Cricetulus griseus: one gene and its partners. The protein of the gene in region 1 interacts with the protein of each later gene in a pairwise test. Links are inferred from orthologs where the notes say so. Each region holds a gene or a part of one and is shown in the gene's direction. Other genes may lie near its edges.

What was found.
Region 2: the proteins of Tnfaip3 (region 1) and Arrdc3 interact in binary tests that used the Homo sapiens proteins (3 or more experiments, as listed by UniProt). The two-hybrid records come from large-scale screens. The link is inferred for Cricetulus griseus from reciprocal best matches to the Homo sapiens genes TNFAIP3 and ARRDC3.
Region 3: the proteins of Tnfaip3 (region 1) and Ikbkg interact in binary tests that used the Homo sapiens proteins (3 or more experiments, as listed by UniProt). The link is inferred for Cricetulus griseus from reciprocal best matches to the Homo sapiens genes TNFAIP3 and IKBKG.

Annotation. Positions count from the first base shown.
Region 1 is NC_048595.1:270,728,061-270,731,714, forward strand, and holds part of Tnfaip3 (tumor necrosis factor alpha-induced protein 3), read left to right. Parts: intron 1-1,423; coding exon 1,424-1,614; intron 1,615-2,372; coding exon 2,373-2,520; intron 2,521-2,668; coding exon 2,669-2,839; intron 2,840-3,654. UniProt on the Homo sapiens protein: Ubiquitin-editing enzyme that contains both ubiquitin ligase and deubiquitinase activities.
Region 2 is NC_048595.1:301,357,615-301,361,268, forward strand, and holds part of Arrdc3 (arrestin domain-containing protein 3), read left to right. Parts: exon of another isoform or gene 1-359; intron 360-1,157; coding exon 1,158-1,239; intron 1,240-2,876; coding exon 2,877-3,024; intron 3,025-3,654. UniProt on the Homo sapiens protein: Adapter protein that plays a role in regulating cell-surface expression of adrenergic receptors and probably also other G protein-coupled receptors.
Region 3 is NC_048604.1:1,290,594-1,294,287, reverse strand, and holds the start of Ikbkg (NF-kappa-B essential modulator), read left to right. Parts: upstream 1-893; 5' UTR 894-991; coding exon 992-994; intron 995-1,511; exon of another isoform or gene 1,512-1,665; intron 1,666-3,694. Other genes in the region: G6pd (glucose-6-phosphate 1-dehydrogenase), read right to left, coding at 5-124. UniProt on the Homo sapiens protein: Regulatory subunit of the IKK core complex which phosphorylates inhibitors of NF-kappa-B thus leading to the dissociation of the inhibitor/NF-kappa-B complex and ultimately the degradation of the inhibitor.

The DNA of each region.
Region 1 (3,654 bases):
AACAGAATGCAGCCCTTGCCACACCTCAGCCTGACACTGGGCTCAAATGAGCTTTTCTGTTCACTAGTTCAGCGAGTTGTTTGAAGGGTGCACACTGAGGGAATACTGACAGGCTCTGCATACGTATTTGACAGGTTGTTTACAGTTTCACTATAATTAGAATTTGATGGAATTTCAAATAGCTTTATTGCTTTACTGACAGTAATGTAAAACAAAACAAAAAACCCCCAAACTTTTAGCTTTTTAAATTAAAAATATGTAATACTTTCCAAAAGAGAATGAAGAATTGGCTAGTTTTATATCCAACTGTCCTCCCAAATGTTTACTCTTTTGGGCATGAAAATGAATACATTCAGAGACTGAATGCAACTCACTGGTAGAGAGAACCTTTGCCTAGCATTCATGGGGCCCTGGGTTTGATGTCCAGAAGTGAAAAGGATGAATGTACAGACTGAAAGAGCATAGTTTGTTGAATTGTGACTTTTATCCTGGAAAAGTCACAAATTAGTGAAAGAATTAGACTTGTCTTTTTCTCAAAATGCTAGCCTCAAACACTGAATTATTTTAAATGTCAATACTTTTTAACTTTTGTTTTGTAATTGCTTGTTGATTGACTGACTGACTGATAACTGAGGCAGGGTCTCCTGTAGTTCAAGCTAATACTCAATTCACTCTGGAGCTAAGGATGAACTTGGCCTTCTGACTCTCTCAACTCTGCCTCGCAAATGTTAGAATTACAGGCATGCACAACCATGCCCGACTACCTTTTAATTCTTTTAAAGGGCTTTATAATTGTTTACAAGCAGGCTCCCATAATGCCCCAGAGGCTGGGGCAGGGCCTGCAGCAGGCTACAGGTCATTTGGTACTGTCAATCCCATTTGGTAAGCTAGGAGAGGAAACTCCCAGGTCCCCAAAGCTAAAGTGGAATGGCCAAGTCACTTACCATTGAGTCATAGCCAGACCAGCCCTATCTTAGGCCAAGCTACAGTGGCTTCCTGGTGTGTGTACTGTCCTGGATGTGAAACCTTCCTGAGAGCTAGACAGCAGGAGTGCCAGGTCCTTAGCCAGCAAGCCAAAGACCAATAGGAAGAGAGAGCTATAGAGTTCATAAGCTGGTGCCCTCATTCCACAAAGTAGAGAAGACCTCAGGAATGTTCCCAAGATCATCCAAATTAGTCAGGGGCAGAGCCATGCTACAGTGGAGGTCATCTGGCTCCTCCCCCTAAAAGGAAAAACAAAAAGAATTTTTTTCCGTACATCTGCCATGGCCTTATGGAATGTTACCAGCTGGCCCTTCATTAAGAATCAACCACACAGTCCTCCAGCAGTGGGCTTAATTTATCCAGAAAACGTTTGCTGGGCATTCCTTCCCTTCACTTTGGGTTGCTTAACTTGCTCCTCACGGCTCCCTTCTGTCCTCAGGTGATGGAAATTGCCTCATGCATGCAGCTTGTCAGTACATGTGGGGTGTTCAGGATACGGACTTGGTCCTGAGGAAGGCCCTCTGCAACACCCTTAAGGAGACAGACACACGAAACTTTAAATTCCGCTGGCAGCTGGAGTCTCTGAAATCACAGGAATTTGTGGAAACAGGACTTTGCTACGACACTCGGGTATGTTTGGCTCTTGTTTGACAGCTCCACGGTGGACAAAGGGTACTTTGGGCCAGTCCCTGTTCCCTGAGGAACATATGACTTACAAGTCATATGAGTTGAGCTAAGCAGTGCACCAAGTGGAAAACACCAAGAACCTTCTGTGGGATTAACCCCAGTTAGCAATTCACTTCTCAGGCTTGTAAGCATCAGATCCCTAGGCGTGCATTTCTTTGTCATGGCAGGTCTTCCAACCATGGTCTTTCCTTAGGCACTTCCCAGCCAATCAATCCAGGGAAGGATGTACCTCTTACTCCTCAAGCTTTTTTTTTTTCTTCCCTGAGCTAGAGTATCATGTATGGCCTTGAACCTGCTACGTAGCAGAAAATGACCTTGCTATGTAGCTGAAGATGACCTTCCTGCCTCCACCTCCACAGTGCTAGGATTGCAGACATGCATCACCATGTGATTTTACATGGTGCTAGATATAAACCCAAGACTCCATGCATGTTAGGAAAACACTGAGCTATCCCCCTGCCCCAGGTAGGGAATTTTTCTGAAAGCAAAGGCTGTCTGTATCTCCCTTCAGCTTTGACTTTGCTCTGCAGTGGAAAAATGTAAAGGAGAAAAACCAAAATGGGGGAGAGGATGAACATCCAAGCAATTGTTTCAATGAAGGAGAAGAATGAATGGGATTTCTTAACAGGGACAAATGCAGAGTGACATTTGAGTGACTTGCTAACCCGTCCTTTCCTTCCTCTCTTCTCCCCTTCCCTTAGAACTGGAATGATGAATGGGACAATTTGGTCAAAATGGCATCGGCAGACACTCCCGCAGCCCGAAGTGGACTTCAGTATAATTCCCTGGAAGAAATCCACATATTTGTCCTCAGCAACATCCTCAGAAGACCCATCATTGTCATTTCAGGTGAGGTGCCTCCTCGTTTCTTCTTGTTTTTCCAAATGCTTTTCAGCCATGCTGCTTTAGCTCTGAGGAGAAACCCAGGCTCCTCAACAGCTTCATGAAAGTCACCCAGGGTCTTATTTTGTTTTTTTTTTTTTCTTCCTGTTAACAGACAAAATGCTAAGAAGCTTGGAATCGGGTTCCAATTTTGCTCCTTTGAAAGTGGGTGGGATTTACTTGCCTCTCCACTGGCCCGCCCCGGAATGCTACAGATACCCCATTGTCCTTGGCTATGACAGCCAGCACTTTGTACCCCTGGTGACCCTGAAGGACAGTGGACCTGGTAAGAAAACATCAGTTCATACTCATAACCCTTTTGGATCCTGGAGTTCCCGGCCTTGCTCTCTTGTTCCCAACTGAAATTGTTATATTTAAGTCTGTTCTTAATCAGGATGGATTAACAATCTCTTATGTAAAGTGCTTGGATCCAATATTATTTCAGATTGCAGAGTCTTTCATATTCCTGAATGTTTACATAGACTTTGCCATCTCATCATCCCTAATCAAAACTTAAATGCTCCCAAATCCAGTCAGATTTGTAGATTTGAGATTTTCAGATTAAAGTCATACACAATGGCACAGTAATGCAATAGCAGTAAACATACCATTCTGCCATCCTTTTGAGTGTGACTTAGGAAGTACTTTCAGAATGGTAAACATAGGTTGGACAGTCATATATGCATACTCCACCACTGTTATTACTACATGACAAATTAAGGTACACAAAGCCTTGGTATCGAGTCTGGCATACAGCAAGTAGATGTTTGTCAGGTTAGCTATTATTATAATACCATAATGTATAGTAAGCACTTTGCTAAGTGCTCCAGGCAACATTCCTTCATTTCATTTTCATAGCATCCCTATGAGATGTTGGCATGAGTTGTCTTACTTTATCGATGAGGCCATGGAAACTCAGAAAGGTTAAATGACATGCTTAGCTTGACATCAACAAAGTCAAGATTCTAACTCAGGTCAGTCTGCCTGGGAGGCATTGAATTTAACCAGTTCAGATCTCTTGTCTCCTTCCTGTGATTACAAAAATCAGCTTAGGTGATGATCACCAGATGGATGGATGAAGAGACTGTGATATGTGTACAC
Region 2 (3,654 bases), about 31 Mb from region 1:
TTGACAGCCAGGCACTTGTTTACCACGGCGCCGCGGCCGTGGCTCGCCTCAATGAGACTGCTGAGCTGGCACAAAAGGGAACCGGGAGGGAGGCAAAGTTTGGGCGCCTTGGAAGGGCTGATGGAGGAGCCCCGGCTCCCCGGCCCGGCTCCAGGGTTAACACACTGTTGGGGGCTCCACGGGAGGCTCGGGAAGCAGTGTCAGACATAGGCGGGTCACCATAATTTGGGGATGAAAGTCATGGTTTTTTGTGTATTTACAATACTTCGGTGAAGAAAAATATAAAGATACAGTGCCTTACACCAGTGCCTCCCCCAGCTAATTAAAAAGGATTTCACACCAAGAAAAGCAAGTAGCAGGTTGGCGAATTACCTAAACCTTTTCCACATTTTTTGTTAGTTTATTTTCATGACACACATAATGAATTCGAGCAAAAAAAATTAGTTGTAAAATGAAATGTCATTACACCCCACCTCCACACCCCTCAAAAGTGAAAACTACCCAATTAAACTTAATTTTTCAAGTGTTGAACAAAATGTTTCTTTGTAAAAAGACATTTTAAATTCAGTCCTTTGTAATTAAACTTAAAAGCCTGATGTTAGTTGCTGCTTCAAACCAATTGAGTTTTGAATATTGTCTAAGTGAATATTTTTAGCTTTGAGATGTTACTGAAACCCCACCTCCCCTTGACAGGGTCCCCACTGACTGGCCTTGAATCCCTGCAGCGGTCCTCCCACCTCTGCTTCCTGGGTGCAACATGAATAGTTGCCTCAAGAAAGTCAATATTCACCTAAAACTGGCAATTTAAAAAAGTTCGTTTTTAGTTTATGCACACTTAAGCAATTGGTGGTCAAGATACCTGAACCTTTTGTTAAATACTGTATTTGATAAAAATTTTTTTTCTCTATTTGGATTTTTTTTTTCATTAAAATAAAACAGCCTATAAGTGTAAGTGTTCATCATCCCTATTTTGGTGATGAGGAAGGTGAAGAACAAGGGTTTTTTTCAGCCAGAACAAATAATGAAGTTGGGATTAGAACTCTGATCTATAAGATGAAAGCATGTGGCTATGATAACGAACAACATCCATGAAGATTGCTGCCAGAGAATGTAGACCTTTAACGACAAGATTTTTGTTTTCTTTTTGTTCCTTTTAGATGATGATAATTCCGAAGAAGGGTTCAACACTATTCATTCAGGAAGGCATGAATATGCATTTAGCTTCGAGCTTCCACAGACGTAAGTATTATAAGTAGTAGGATTTTTCTTGGACATACTTAGTTAAGCACAATCTGTAAATACTCCATATTTAAATACTTTAGTATTTTTTTTCTTTCTTGAAAAAAACCCTTTTCATTACAGAAACTTGGTCGAGGAAAACAATGTAATTAATAGAAGGAGCTATTTTTAATGTGGCAAAATTACAGAAAGCACACTCAGTCAGTTGTTAGTATTCTGCAGTAGTGTTTGGAGGATATAGAATATTAATATTTAATCTAGCACTGGTGAGTCCTAAGGTGCTAATCAAACAGTCTTCAATCAAATTTCTGACTAGCCTGTCCTTTATTAAAAGAGACTTCACTTGAATCTCAGTAGCTCGATGGATCAGAATTCAGAATTCCACCTTTTCTGCTAATGTGAGTGGTTAATGTTAGAAAGTAACCATAAGACTGCCCTAACTCAAGGAGTCCCCTTCTTTAGACACAAATTCAGTAGCTTCTGTACACAGAGCTACCACTACTGGGGACATTACGTAAGATAGCATAACCTGGACTTAAAAGGAAGTGTCTCAGAGCTACCTTAGTGGAAAGCTTGAAATACAGTACATTCTCAGCATTTTAACAACTTTCTGGGAGAGAATGTAAACATTTTTGCATAATGCCTTTTAGCTGCTACTAAAACTTATGAACTGGCACTAATTGATCTATATAATAAACTTAACTCATAATGACAGTCTGTCGTGCCTTGGATATATATAATTCTGTTTACTAATTTTACTTGGAATTCTACATAGACTTTATAGTCATTGTAAAATACTGGTGCTTCTACCAATCTAATATGGCCTTCTAAGTAACAGCACTGCACATTTCTCTAATGGAGCAGATTGCTTGTTAAAACCTACAGACAACAAAACCTCCAACCTGGCCAAGTCCAGAAACAGTTCTGATTATCTGACCTAGGTTAATGGGAAGATTTTTCTTTTCAAGCCTTGGAAGGAAAAGGTGGAAAACAGTCACGGGAGAGTTAGAATTTGGCTGGACAGGGTGTAAAAAGCACCCTCTCTGTTTCTATGAATTTATGAAATAGGAAATTGTGAGACTATTCTAGGCTTTTTCTGTGCTAATTAGTTGCTATAAAAAGAGGTTCTAATTCCTAGCTAACAAAAGTAGAGCACTATAGGGAGGGTTTTTTTTTTTTTCTTCTTCTTTTTTTTTTTTCCTGAATGTTTGACTGGGGTCTGGGATTTTTAGGTAGAAATAGTGAGGCCATACTTACTTTAAAATTAAAATGCTTACCTTTTCAAGAATAGTTCATTTAACTTTCATGATTTTGCCACCAACATTAAAAGTAGACTCTTTAGTTTAAGGGGGTTGTATTCTTCTGGCATTAAAAACAAAATTTCTCTTACATTTAACTCTTATCATTATTTGAAAATAAAAGGCCTTTCCCCAGTGACTTATCATATCCCCTTTGGAGAGTTTTAAGAGATTATGCATGTGGTACCTCATTGGTCCACAGACAGTACAACATGGTGATGCCTTTATACACGTGGTACCTCATAGACAGTACAACATGGTAACGTGTTTATTCTGATCGACTATTGAATTTTTGAAAGAGGTGTAAGATTAATATCTCCATTTTTATATTTTGCACAGACCACTTGCTACCTCATTCGAAGGCCGACACGGTAGTGTGCGCTATTGGGTGAAAGCTGAATTGCATAGGCCTTGGCTTCTACCAGTAAAGTTAAAGAAGGAATTCACAGTCTTTGAGCACATAGATATCAACACTCCTTCATTACTGGTAAGAAGTGCCTGGGTTCTTCATTGCGTTTTTGACATTTGAACACATAAAGAATAGCCACCTAATCTATGCTGCCCAGTCATGCAGTCTCCATAGCTTTAATAACGCAATTCTATTGAATTCCATTAAAAATACCTATTTTAAAATAAGGTAGAACTAGAGCACACAATCGAATGAATAATATGCTCCTATTTTTCACACAGTGCTAGCTAGGTACATTTAAAAGTTACACTTCACACATATGTGATATGAAGTGTCTTTTTTGCAGAACACAGCAATAACAAGGTCCAGTCCCTAAATGACTTTAGTTGACAAACAATATTAATCATTTAGGATGTTGGCTTAAATTTCTTACTTGAACCGGTCACAATCTAAACTTTGTACCACATTGCTTTATACTAGTTAGAGCTAGGTGTCACATGATGGGGATTCATCATTGTCATGGGGAAAAAATTAATTTCTTTTTAATTGCATTTTATTATACTAATTCAAATTTGGCTTCAAAAATGATTTGGTTTAAACAAATGATAACATCTTTAAATTGAATAAAAATGTGTTTTACATTTTATCAAACAACCTTTTTTTTTCTTTTTTCAAAATAAGATGTTGCCATTTTGAATTACAACCAAG
Region 3 (3,694 bases), on another chromosome or scaffold:
TCACCGATGCACCCATGATGATAAATATATGTGTATCAGCTTGGTGGAAGGCATCACCCTGGTACAACTCTTCCCTCAGGATGCCACACACCTGGGTCCGGCTCAGGGCCACCTGCTCTGCCATGGTGTTTTCTGGTGGAAGAAAGACTCATTGATAAGGCAGGAGAACAGAAGAGCATTGACAACTTAACCTTATCAGAATCAGAAACTGCTGCTTCTGGGCTCCAGCCATATCCTATGTTGTCTTCTCTGGGGGCTGTACATTACGAAATCTCTATAAGCATTAATGGAATTCAGCTAGGGAATCCACTCTGGGAAAGCGACGCGGTCAGAGCATCGCACTGTGTCTGGGGCCATCGCACTCCAGTCTCTGCCAGAAACGCCACAATGAACTGAGCATCTTTTCATTGTGCAGATGATGGAGTTCAGCCCCAGCTCTCTGCTGGCCAAGCTAAATGATCCCAGAAAGACCCTTCTCTTCTAAAAGTCTAGTCCTCATGGGCCTAATGCGGGGAAGTGCGGGGTACAATGGGATGGGTTAAGACCTCGTAGATCTTTTTCCATATCCAAGCATAACAAATAGCGCTCATCAAAGGGACACGCGGCTCATAAGCGGGAAGCACATCCCTCCACCGGTGTGCTATCAGACCACCCCCTTTACCTGTGTTTAGTTGCTGCTGCCAAACAGGTTTACAGTTCTGGAGTGCACAGCTCGTTTCCGGGGGCTGCGCTTAGCTGGCTCGTTTAACGCAGGAGGGCGGGTGCTTTGACTGAGCTGACCCGCCTCAGGAGAGGCAGGAGAGGAGGAGCTTCGGACTACTCCATCGGTGAGGGAGGGGAGAGTAGCAGAAGTAGGTGCGCACGCATCCCTTGTCAGCCCCACCCTGTTGGCCGTCCCTGCTTTCCTGCTCCGCGATCGTGATGCTTTGCTGGCACAGATACAGCTCCGCACAGTTCTCCTGCGTCCCCATCGCTACCCCAGCCATACTTTATGGTCTGTTTTCCGATGGACCCTCGAGTCCCTGCGCACTCCTGGATGACCCCACTTCCGTTAGCAGCATAGCCACGCCTCCCCTTGCAATCGGTTTGGCGTCCTTTAGCAGCTTCTTCTAGGCTTTTTCCATGGTAGGGACCTGGTGGCAGAGAGCCCAGTGACAGAACCAGACTAAAACTGGGGTGTTTCATTGCGAATGCGACGCCTTGAAAATGGGGTGGGGACAACTGTGGGCGAGGTGACACACGCCTTTAATTCCAAGCACCCGGGAAGCAGAGGCAGGTAGATCTGGATAGCTAGGAGAGAGACCCTGTATCAAAAAAAAAAAAGTGTGTAAGTGTGTGTGTGTGTGAGTGTGTGTGTGATCTTTATCAGTGAAGAGCGTTGCGCTCTTCGGTTAGCCAATGCAGGCTGGCGGTCTGAGGCTTCTCTTCAGAGTGGGATGCAGCACTATTGTGGCTTCGCAGCTCCAGTTAATCTCCTCGACTTCGAGTCTGTGTTTTACTTCCGGATCCCACACTTACGACACCGGAAGCCGGAAGCAGGGGTTTCCACAGCCGAGAAGGGAAGGGTGACCGCCCAACCAGGACTTTCTGAGAGCTCCGATTCAATCTGAGAGGTCGGGTTCCGCTGCTCAGGCCCTCTTCACTTCTGGCCGACTCTGCTGACAGGTGTAGTCCTCTTCTCCAAAGATAGGGCTCCATCGGTGGCCATTATGCAGCTTCCGAGGCTCCTGAGCCCCCTTCCCCCCACCTTGGGCCCAGTTTGTTCTGTTGCATGCTTTCGAATGCTTTTTAGAGCATTTATTCAAGAAGTGCAGATTCGCGACCCAGCTTACTTGGACTGATTTCTGTCCTTCCCTCTGCTTATCTGTCGCCTAAGGGCTTGGCCCCAAGTGCTAGAACTCTTAGTTCACAGACATTTTTCTGTTGATGAAACTTTGTTTTCTGAAACAGCATCTCGAAATGTAGGCCAGGCAGACCACGAGCACAAGATTCTCCTGCCTCAGCTTTTTCAAGTGTACCGACTTTGCCTTTGTTTTTGAAGGGTTCACGATAAAAGGGAGAAACAGTCAAAGTTATCTTTGATGTAACTGGTCCCAGTGGGGTCAATTGATTGTAAAAGGCAAGGGAAGAAAGCATGGTGATCTGTAAAGAGATTATTGCAGTAATCCATGTGAAGGATGATAGTGCTGTCAGCCTTTTATTACTGAAAACTTTAAAAATGTACAAAAGTAGAAATATTAACATAGTAAGTTCCATGTACACATTTCTTAGTTGTCTCTATCAACTCATAGCTAACTTTAATTCACAGCCCTTACAGTACTCTACCATGATTTTTTTTCCTCTTTAGAAAAGATGTTATTTTATGTGTGTGGGTGTTTTGGCTGTGAGTATGTATGTGTACTACATGCTTGCCTGTTGCTAAAGGAATTCAGGAGAAGGTGTGAGGTCCCCTTGGATTGGAGTTGCAGATGTTTGTGAGCCACCATGTGGGTGCTGGGAACTGTCTCTGCAACAACAGCAAGTGCTCTTAACCACTGAGTAATCATCTTTTTTGCTCCACCCATTATAATTTTCAAAAACAGCTTTCTTGAGACATAATTTGCATGCTGCACCATTCACATTTAAAAACTAAAAATATTTACTATTTGTGTGTGTGTATGCATGATGTGTGTGGAGTGTCATGGCCAGAATGTGTTCTCAGGTTTCCAGGCTTGCATACCAATAGTTATCCACTGAGATGTGTCACTTGCCCATAATTCAAAATTTTTGGAGAGAGTCTCATGAAGATCCCTTCTTTTTGAGTTTCTCATCCTCCTGCTTTTACTTCCTAAGTACTAGGATTTACAGAAGTACACCACCACATCTGGCTACAATTCACGTATTTAAGGTGTATAATTCAGTGGTTTTTAGTGGGTTCATAGGAGTGTGAAAACATCACTAATTGCGGAACATTGTCATCATCCCTAAAAGAAATCCTAAATAAGAAACTCCAATCCACCTCATTTCTCTAAGTAACCACTAAACTACTTTCTGTCAGGATTTACATGTTTTGGATATTTCTTATGCTTGTAAGTATATACAGTATATAGCTTTTAGTGACATTTCTTTCTCTTAGCAATTATTTGGAGCATGTGTTCTTGTTTTTGTAACAGATTTTGCTTATTCATCAGTTGGTGGACATTTGGATTGTTTCCACTCTGGCTGCTTTGAATAATGCTGCTGTGATCATTTATATATGGACATGTGTTTTCATTTCTATTGGGTTTATCCATAGGTATCTCTTTTGTTATGCAGTGAATTTCAGACATGTGAGTGTTTCATTATGTATCTCTTTCAGAAAGTACTCTCAATAAACATAACTACAACACCATGATCACACTTAAAATACCTAATGTTATAGTGTGTCTTCATGAATTAAAAAGATGGGCAGGGGGGAAGATAAAGGAACAGAAAAACTAATCGAACAAGCAAGCAAAAACTCAGAAATGCTCAAATTTTTTGTCCTGATAGTTGGGGGATGGATTTGTTTTCAACTGATAGTAAGGGAAGTTGTGGATAGAAGTGGATTTGGGAGACTCACTTTTTTGGGTACTGCTGGGGATCCAGAGTCTGGTGAATGTTTGGCAAGTACTCCATTGCTGAGATATACTTCTAGTTCTGGGAAATTAATTTTGACAAGACCTCTTTTTATTTT